Arabidopsis thaliana: one gene and its partner. The protein of the gene in region 2 interacts with the protein of the main gene of each other region in a pairwise test. Each region holds a gene or a part of one and is shown on either strand. Other genes may lie near its edges.

Evidence for each region. The genes of interacting proteins can lie anywhere in the genome.
Region 1: the proteins of EMB1968 (region 2) and PME31 interact in binary tests that used the Arabidopsis thaliana proteins (3 or more experiments, as listed by UniProt).

What each region holds. Positions count from the first base shown.
Region 1 is NC_003074.8:11,071,514-11,075,978, reverse strand, and holds PME31 (pectin methylesterase 31), read right to left. Parts: upstream 2,334-4,465; 5' UTR 2,176-2,333; coding exon 1,930-2,175; intron 1,861-1,929; coding exon 1,756-1,860; intron 1,546-1,755; coding exon 1,468-1,545; intron 1,326-1,467; coding exon 1,138-1,325; intron 1,064-1,137; coding exon 890-1,063; intron 807-889; coding exon 644-806; 3' UTR 501-643; downstream 1-500. Other genes in the region: VTI13 (vesicle transport V-snare 13), read left to right, coding at 1-63. UniProt on the Arabidopsis thaliana protein: Acts in the modification of cell walls via demethylesterification of cell wall pectin. Acts in a blockwise manner, resulting in a cell wall rigidification.
Region 2 is NC_003070.9:7,613,592-7,619,338, forward strand, and holds EMB1968 (ATPase family associated with various cellular activities (AAA)), read left to right. Parts: upstream 1-2,022; 5' UTR 2,023-2,083; coding exon 2,084-2,127; intron 2,128-2,213; coding exon 2,214-2,292; intron 2,293-2,436; coding exon 2,437-2,516; intron 2,517-3,012; coding exon 3,013-3,135; intron 3,136-3,224; coding exon 3,225-3,294; intron 3,295-3,375; coding exon 3,376-3,449; intron 3,450-3,650; coding exon 3,651-3,771; intron 3,772-3,849; coding exon 3,850-3,912; intron 3,913-3,997; coding exon 3,998-4,057; intron 4,058-4,156; coding exon 4,157-4,282; intron 4,283-4,365; coding exon 4,366-4,452; intron 4,453-4,678; coding exon of another isoform or gene 4,679-4,731; coding exon 4,732-4,830; 3' UTR 4,831-4,975; downstream 4,976-5,747. Other genes in the region: AT1G21680 (DPP6 N-terminal domain-like protein), read left to right, coding at 1-1,557; AT1G21695 (hydroxyproline-rich glycoprotein family protein), read left to right, coding at 5,541-5,747. UniProt on the Arabidopsis thaliana protein: May be involved in DNA replication and thus regulate cell proliferation.

The DNA of each region.
Region 1 (4,465 bases), on a different chromosome or scaffold from region 2:
GCGATAATCACAGTCCTTGTCCTCGCCATTATCTTTATCTTGTACTTCAAACTCACCAGGTGAAGCCTTTTTCTCTTCACCTGCCTGACCAATTTCTAACTGAACAACTTTCTATTGCTATGGTCGCAATTTTGTTTATGATAGATCTGAGAATCTAATATTGATCTTCTATGCTATTTTAACCTGTTCTGTGTGAAGCTCTTGTTAATCTTCTGCTTGATGTTCTTCACCAAACCTATCAAAATCTGTAAAAGCAAATCAAGAAGATAGTTACATCTAAATTCTAGTGTTGTAGAAACTTGAAGTTTTAGTTGGGTGGGAAAAAAATTGGGGCATTCCGAGAATTGAACTCGGGACCTCTCGCACCCTAAGCGAGAATCATACCACTAGACCAAATGCCCATTTTTATATAATCTTATTTACACAAAAAAATAACCAAAACATTTTACCAATTTAGTTAAACAAGAAGAAACTATGAAGTGTATAATCATAGTTTCTATAGAAGATCCTTTTGTAGTGCACTTATTGACTTGGACAAAAGATAATCCAAAGTTTGATACTAGGGTTGTTTACAATAGGTTCTTCATGATCCTTTGTTATTCTAGGCCTCACCATGGCAGTTACAACATTTTTTTTCAGTACTCTAAGCCGAATATGGTGTTTTCACACCCATTCTTAGACACAACCAAGGCCGGTCCTGTTCAGGATCTACAAAACTATGATGCACAAAGTGTCCAGCTTCGTCATCCATCAGTTCTCTCGACCACGGAACACGTTCAGACGAACAGCTACCCGGACCAAAGCACCTACCATTTTACATCCAAAAGAATATCAAAAAACTGTTTCGTGATTACCACTTGTTGCAGTTAAGAGATGTCATATGATGTACCTATACTCATAAAAGCAAGCACTTCTCTCGTTCTCTGCGTTTCCCCAGTTATGCCAACCCACATTTCTGATACACGCGTCCATGTAAGTGTAAGCAAGGACTACCCTCCCAAATGGTCCCCATGGCCTTCCGAGATACATATACCCGCTCTGACCATTACCCGTGATCACACATCTGCAAACAAGTTAGTAGAAACTCAGTTTCCTTGGAAGAATGTAGAAGTTGTAAGTAATCCTTGTGAAGCAGACCTTAAGAATACATAACCAGTAGATTCCTGAGACGATTTTCGGCTTTGTGCTGTTATAAACCCCTGAGATTTGCAGTGGATATGGCAGTGTTCCAAGAGAGCGGTACTGTTTCCAAATATGAAATCCACACTTCCCTCGATGTAACAGTCTTTCAAATATTGTTTCCCATGATGTAAATACAATGTATCCTGCATTTCACATTTTGCAAATAAGCTATAACAAGATTGGATCAACCTACTTGCAATATACCACATCTAAACTATGAACAACCAACACAAAGTTTCCACAAGTTTACACAAATCATTTGAATCAAAGGACTGATAAACGAACCTGCCAACCGAGAAATCGACAATTATAAAAGGCGCAACGGTCTGCAGTGACTCGTATCGCCACAGCTTGCCCTGATCCCTATATACAAAGTGGTCAAATAACATAACTAGGATAAAAAATCACCATAGACAACTCTTAATTCTAATCTCAGCAGAAGAAATTTCCAAACTTTGAATCTGAACATTAATAAGAACATACAAAGGAAGAGACTTTATAGATCCCTAAACTAATTTGAGTAAAATTTCTAAACTTTGTGTAGTAATAAAGGAAGAGACTTTATATGATTACCTCAGGAGCAGAGTTCTCAAAAGTAATGTTCTCTGCAATAAAATCTTCACCTTCAACAATAACACTACCACAACCAAACGTACCAGTCCCAATGACTCTAGACGCCTGCAAAACAAAACAACCAAATCAGAGCCGTACACGTACCAAAAACACTAAGAACATAGCAAACGTTACCTGGTGATGCTCAATCTTGGAAGCTGTATTGTTCCAAGTCAAAACCGTGATCTCCGGTGAGATTCCGGCGAAGGTAATGAAATTCTTCCTCTTGGGTACATACACAGGTTGCCGATAAATCCCAGGTGAGAGACGAATCACAGTTCTGCAAGTGTTACCTAAAGGCACCGAATCAATTGCGTCTTGAACAGAGCAGTAATCTCCCGAACCATCTTGCGAAACCCTAACCATTCGAGTCGTTGCCATAGTTGTAAAACCCTAGTGAGAGTGTCTAGGAATCGAAACAGAGGTTTTTGGGTAACGATGAATTGCGTCGAATTGTGGTACAGAGGTTTAGGTGTCGGTATTGTTCGATCACCATCTGTGTGACGTTCTTTAGTTTTGTAATATTTAGTGATCAGGATACTTATTTTTAAAAATTCGTGAAACCTCCCTTTATTTATGTTTATTTGTAAATTCACCCCAAATTTCGTGAAGGAGCAATTCTAACCAGTCCAAGTCCAGCCGCAGGAATTGTTAAAGAATTTTTTGTTGAGACGAAAACTGTATTCCCTGAAAGAGAAGAAGTATAAATTCTTCTGATTTCTTTAAATTCTTGTTTTTCTATCCATGCACTAGTCACAACATATATCTTTTAATGGTGGATGAATTCTTTTGTATTTCTCAATAGTCATTTCCCATGTATTATATACTATTGAACTAATGTTATTGATTCATTTTTGTAAGGATAATCTATTTTATTTTCTACAGCACATATTTCAAACCATGCAAAAAATAGAATATGTACTTCATATCTTTATACCATAATTCTCTTTAAAAAAAAAATTCTTTGAAGGTGTCAAAGTACCATTTTTCTTTATTTTTAACTTTATTGGATAAAAATTCTCCTTTAAGATATTTTTTTCTCTAATTTAAATTTGATATTCTTTGTCTATTTCAAATCTGAAACTTTTGGAGAAGTAGGAAAACTAGGTGATACGACTTCTATCAAATCACCTAGGTGAAATTTGATAGGTTTATTCTCTTTTTTTTGTGAATATTTTTTCTGTATTTTTTTCCGAGTTAGTAATAGTTTGGCTAGACCTATAATCGGAGAAAAAAAAATGTGCATAAAATGAATTTATTCCAAAAGAGGGTGAATTTCTAAAGGATCTAAATTTTAATAATACTTTTCATCATATTGTTTGGTTCTACGTGTAACAGTTCTTTGTTCAAAGTTTGTTGGTGTTTGAGTAAAATCGATTTTCCATTGGTCTAAATTGTAATTTGTGTTCATTTTAACCGTTTATGTGTATACGTAGAGGGTAGACTATTTTACCATGTACAACTGATATTGTTGTTTGTCCTTTATCATCTAGGAATAAACAGATTAAAAAGAGATGTAGATTGCTTAAAATAAATTTGATACACCAACAAAATAGCCATGTTTTTCTTGTTGAAACTTATTTCAATCAGGTGTATATTTTTTAAACATTTATTAAATATTGTAGAATCATGTAATATTACTTAAAAGTTTGGAGTACTATTAAAATATATAGCTCCATTACATAAGTTTGATTGTATAATTCCTAGTAAAGAGTCGTCAAATTTAAAAGATATTTATCTCGCAGTAACATAAGTATCAGAAAATTAGTCTCTCATTGTAGACAATTTTTATTGTTATTTGTATTAGGCCAAAATGAATATTTTAAATTTCTCTCATTTATAATTTCTAAAGCCACATATGAGAGAAACTTGTTGTATTCAAATTCCTTATGTAAATATAGAGTTTGTTCATGTTCTTTTATTGAATACTAGATCATGACCCGCACATACATGTAGGTATTTTTGTTTAATTAATTTTGTTAAAACTTTTTTGTTAAAATAAAACGTGTACTTATTTTGTGATATTAAATTTTATATTAGTATATATATTTTACGTAAATATTATACATTTAATTGTTTGGTATTTTTAATGTTGGTAAACTGAATTTTATTTAATGTCTGATCTATTACAAATGTAGAGAATAATGTTAATTTATACAATTCATTATGATTTAATTGAAAAGTTTGGTTGTGTTTTTTGGATAACTGAAAGTTGATTTAGTTAACAAAAAACAATGTTCTTACAGAATATATTCCTATTGTAATAGTTAGAATAAAAAAGTTTTATTAGTAAATAAATTCTATTTCTTATATTTGTAAAATAATAACTACTATCAAATTCTTCACCACTCTCCATATCTGATGAACCTGTGTAGCTTGTTCACTTTTCTTTAGTTGACTTTCAATTGCATTCTTCACCATATATTTATAGTAATCTAGTTCGTGAATTGTTTGATATAGGGTTTAGGAAAGTACAACCTAGAATAATATTTGTGTATAATGTTAGTTAAGATATATACTTGATATATTCGGGTATTTAATTTTATTAATTGTTCAATGACAATCAATTGAATCGAATATATAGATTTAGTCGAATTTGAAGATCTGTTTTTTGATTTGAATTTATAAATTACGTTGTTTAAGGAATATATCAAACGTTTTCGAAACAAAT
Region 2 (5,747 bases):
ACCGCCGTTTACTCTACCGAGTTAAAAACCGGGTTAACCAGGCGGTTAACACCGAGTGGTGTAGCTGATTTCAGCCCGGCGGTATCGCCTTCCGGAAATTTAACGGCTGTGGCTTCATACGGAGAGAGAGGCTGGACAGGGGAAGTTGAAGAGCTACGTACGGACATCTATGTATTCTTGACTCGGGATGGGTCTCACCGTGTCAAGGTGGTGGAGCACGGTGGTTGGCCGTGTTGGGTTGATGAGTCGACTCTGTATTTCCATAGAAGAAGTGAGGAGGATGGTTGGATCAGCGTTTACCGAGCCATCTTACCTGAAAACGGACCGTTGACTACTGAGTCGGTGACAATTCAGCGAGTCACACCACCGGGAGTTCACGCTTTCACACCGGCCACGTCACCAAACAACCACGAGTTCGTTGCGGTAGCTACAAGGAGACCAGGCTCGGATTACCGCCACGTGGAGTTGTTTGATCTAAAGAGGAATGAGTTTATAGAGTTGACTCGTTTGGTGGCGCCAAAGAGTCATCACTTGAATCCATTCTTGTCCCCTGACTCGTCTCGAGTCGGATATCATAGTTGTAGAGGCGATGCTAATGGACGGAGAAGTCCTCTGCTCTTCCTTGAAAATATTCAAACCACTACAAGGGACCTCTCTCTCTTTAGAATTGATGGTTCGTTTCCTTCGTTCTCACCTGGAGGTGATCGTATCGCATACGTTAAGATGCCTGGTGTGTTTGTGGTGAAGCCGGATGGTTCAGGGCAGCGTGAAGTGTACAAGGGAATGGCGTTTTCGACAGCTTGGGATCCGGTTCGACCTGGAATTGTGTACTCTAGCTCAGGTCCAACGTTTGCTACAGAGAGAACAGAGGTTGATGTTATCTCTATTGACGTTGATGCAGCCGATAAGTCATCTTCCGTGAGGAGGCTAACGACAAACGGGAAGAACAATGCTTTCCCTTGGCCATCTCCTGATGGTAAGCGGATAGTGTTTCGTTCGGGGCGGACTGGTCACAAAAACCTCTACATAATGGATGCTGAGAAAGGAGAAAGCGGTGGTCTATGGAGGTTAACCGAAGGTGCGTGGACCGACACAATGTGTAACTGGTCACCGGATGGGGAATGGATCGCGTTTGCATCAGATCGAGAAAGCCCTGGCTCGGGTAGTTTTGAGCTCTTCTTGATCCACCCCAACGGAACAGGGTTAAGGAAGCTCATCCAAAGCGGGACGGGTGGGAGAACAAACCACCCGATCTTCAGCCCGGACAGTAAATCATTAGTCTTCACTTCTGATTATGCTGGAATCTCGGCGGAACCGATCTCGAACCCGCATCATTACCAGCCATACGGTGATATCTTCACGGTGAAATTAGATGGCTCTAATGTGAGGAGGCTAACGCATAACTCTTATGAAGATGGGACACCGGCATGGGCCCCTCGGTTCATCCACCCCAACAATGTGGAGCTACAAAGGAGGAATGATTCTAGGTGCTCGTTCGAAGACTGTCACTGGCTCAACAAGTACCCTACACTAAAAGGCCGAAAAATATCTTGTTAATATGTATCTACAGTTTTGTATCCCAGCTTGTAACTCTACTTATAGATTTGTATGAGACTGCCACTGTATATGCATAAGACTTTGTATTATAGAGATCGTTAATGTGATATGTATATCATATTGTCAAAACAGTCGTGATAAGATATCAAACCCTCTTCTAAATGATAGTCTTGCTATTGCGGTTTGGAATCCTCATGAATTATCCAATGTCAATTCAATCTCAGCGTGATTGAAGACAGGTTTTTAAATTCCAAAATCTCTTCTTTAATCACGTTTATAAATCAGTTTTGATACATTATTACTATGTTTTGCGTACGTGTCAGAAGATTACTATCCATGTAATGTCTGAAGAATTAGGTGCGAGTCAAAAGTCATAACAGTCGATAAGATATCAAACCCTCTTCGTGACTTGGAAGGTTTGAGGCGGGGGCGGGAAAATCCAGAAAACGTCGGATAATGTTTATAAAGGAGTCTCTCCGTCACCGGAGAAAAATTAGAAGAAAAAAGAGGCGAAGAAGAGAGAGGAATGGCGCCAGTTCTTCAGAGCTCACAGCCATGGGTTGAGAAATAGTACGATTTCTTCTCACTGATTTTTTATTTCGTTGACGGAATTTATGTGGGGTTTAATAAACTCATTGTTTCCGATTTGGATCTAGCCGGCCGAAGCAGGTTAAGGACGTGGCTCACCAGGAAGAGGTGGTTCGTGTCCTCACCAACACTCTCCAGACTGCTGACGTAATTTCACTATAACCTCTTTGTTTATCGCGAAACAAATCCCTAATTATTAAAATCTGATTTTGTACAAGTGTGAAAAACCCTAGATGTCGAATTTGGTTCTCAATTCTGGGTTTTAATTTTTTGTTTGTCTCTCTGTTGTAGTGCCCGCACATGCTCTTCTATGGACCACCAGGCACTGGAAAAACCACTACTGCTCTTGCCATCGCTCACCAGCTCTTTGGGTAACGTATTCATTTGATAATTTGTGATAGCTGAAATTCGGATGACTTTTTGATTGATTCATTTGTGTGTACTTAGTTTGTATGAGACCTTGTGATCTCTAATATGATACATTCAGATTTGTGATTCAAATAACTCGGTTTTTTTTTTTTTTTATGTAGAAGCTGATATAATATGCACACTCAGACTCTGTGGTTGCATAATGATATACCAACTTCTCCCATTAGGTAGCTAGACAGTATACCAAGATGTGAATTCATAGGAATAGTAATCATTATGATTTTTCTATGTAAGTGGTTAGTTTTTGAAGCTGAATTGTCTTGTTCTTCTTTCCATTGCCTCCATGGGTGTCGTCCCATATGAGTCGGTTTCAGCTTCTTTTGAGAGTAATAATCACAGATTTATTTTCATGAGCCTGGCCTTGTTTTGTTATTTCATTTTGCTATATTATGTGGATTTTTACAATGGGCATGTGAACTAACTATAGAGTGTTTACAGACCTGAACTATACAAGTCTAGGGTGTTGGAGCTTAATGCAAGTGATGACAGAGGTATTAATGTTGTTCGGACTAAGATCAAGGATTTTGCTGCTGTTGCTGTTGGGTCTAATCATCGTCAAAGGTGTCGTACTTTTTATTAAGTTTTTTTTTTTTTTGGGGTCATTTTCTCGTTTCTGCATTTCATCTAAGACCTTCGATTTGATACTTCAGTGGTTATCCTTGCCCATCGTTTAAGATCATCATCCTAGATGAGGCTGATTCGATGACAGAAGATGCTCAGGTACGTTGAACATCTATTATTCACTACCGCATTTGTACGTTTGATATGTGTTTACCATGAGCTATTTTATTGACTGTCCAGAATGCCTTGAGGCGCACAATGGAAACTTACTCCAAAGTCACCAGATTCTTTTTCATATGTAATTACATCAGCAGGTAATTCTGTCACAACAGCCTTTTATTTTTTTTCCTTCTGTTCTCATTTGTTCTCCAATTTTCTCTCTGGTTATTGAAAATGATTGCTTTTTCGTTTATACTTTTGTTATATTTTGGAACATGCTCATAGTGAGCTACTTGCTGAACTATGAACCTACTGATTTTGATCACCCTTACAAACTTTGATCTCTTGTTCTGTAGGATCATAGAGCCCCTTGCTTCCAGGTGTGCGAAGTTCAGGTTTAAACCACTTTCCGAAGAAGTCATGAGTAACCGTATATTGCATATTTGTAATGAAGAAGGTCTCAGCCTTGATGGAGAGGTATGAGCAAATGCTTCAATGTTTTCCGTATTATTTTAGTTTTGTGAAAGCTGATTATTGTAGCCGTTTCCTATTCAGGCTCTTTCAACTTTGAGCTCCATATCACAAGGTGATCTCCGTAGGGCCATCACATATCTGCAGGTAAGATAAAACTATCTGAAATATTTGTTACTAGACGAAATCGACCATAGAAATGTGAAACACTCTTTCTACCTGAATATTGCAGAGTGCTACTCGGTTGTTTGGATCAACAATAACTTCTACAGATTTACTCAATGTGTCTGGGGTAAGGATGAAGTTAACCCAATATTTGCATAAGTGTATGGTAGGTTCAGCCATGTCAGACTTGCTGATGTTTAATATGGATGTCTAACGAATCTATCAGGTAGTTCCTCTAGAGGTAGTCAATAAACTTTTTACTGCATGCAAAAGTGGTGATTTCGATATTGCAAACAAGGAAGTGGATAACATAGTTGCAGAAGGATATCCTGCATCTCAAATCATCAATCAGGTTTTCTATTTTCCTCTCTTATTTTTACCCCATTTAAGTCATGCAACTGTGGCTATAACCCCTTCTATACAACACTCTTTCAGCTATTCGATATAGTTGCGGAGGCTGACAGTGACATAACAGACATGCAAAAGGCTAAGATCTGCAAATGTTTAGCTGAAACTGATAAGGTAAGACTTTCCCGTACTAATTTTCCTTACTTGTGTCTCTTTTAGAGCCTCAAGTGAGATCAATTACCAACATCTTGACTCAATTATATTACGGGTTTTGAGTGAAGTTCACATCTTAGATTTTTGCCATTTGAATCTGTAGATATGTTGCAATCTTGCTAAGGATGTCTCTGTTACCTCTAGTGATAATAAAATATCTCACATCTTTTATTTTTAATGTATCCAGCGACTTGTAGACGGGGCGGATGAGTACTTGCAGCTTCTGGATGTGGCAAGCAGTACAATTTGTGCCCTCTCAGAAATGGCTCAAGACTTCTAATGCAAATTCTGCTTGAATTGGACCTGTGCCTTAAGACTTATGAGACTATCATAGTGTAGGTTTTGATAAAAAGTTGGAGCGTTATGACGTTTTACTGGTTACTTATCTGTTATTGTTTTAAGAAAAACTATTAGATATATTTATTGCATCATTACTTAAGTCTATTTGTTTTGTGGGTAAGATCATTAAATATCATTACAATGTGAAATACATGATCGAATCAAAATAATTAACATCTCTTATAACCAACAAAATCATGACCAGATAGCTTGATGGACATTGCTTCTGTTGTAAGAATTAGTGAATCCCTTTATCTATATCCAATATTGACACCGTAAAAGGAGTAATGTGTTTCTTTACTAGTTGGATATATATACAGTGTAGATCCCAAAATGTAAATATAAAAATAAAAAATATAGTAGATTTATATAATTATATTTTTCTATTTATTACCTCTAATAATCAAAATAGTAAAATCCTACGAAAATGTAATAAAATACAAGAGGATTAATATACATATCCACATAAAAGGAAGATTCGGATACACATCCAAACTATAGAAAACATTAGTAATGCCATAAATAAATAAAAATGCTGTCAAGACACAAAATTCGTTGAATGTTATAGTCTTCACATAAAACTGTCATAAATCTGGATACGTTCTAAAAATAATTGATCTAATCTAAATCTATAAGTAGTTTCTTATTAGTAGAATCCTTATGAATCTTAATTTGATCAAGACAGAAACGCTTTTGTTTACTTTTACCTAATGGTCGATGGTGACGATTCTTTCAAGAGACCCGGAGCTGTGCCTTTTAAGTGGGAGATCCGACCCGGTGTACCTAAAACCCGACCCGGTGATGATGATCCAGCTCTTCTTCAACCACCTCCTCCTAACAAACTTCCTCCTCTCAAATTAAAATCAACTCCGCCGTCGAATTCGCCATCTCCGTCGTCTTCTTCTTCTTTCTTCTCT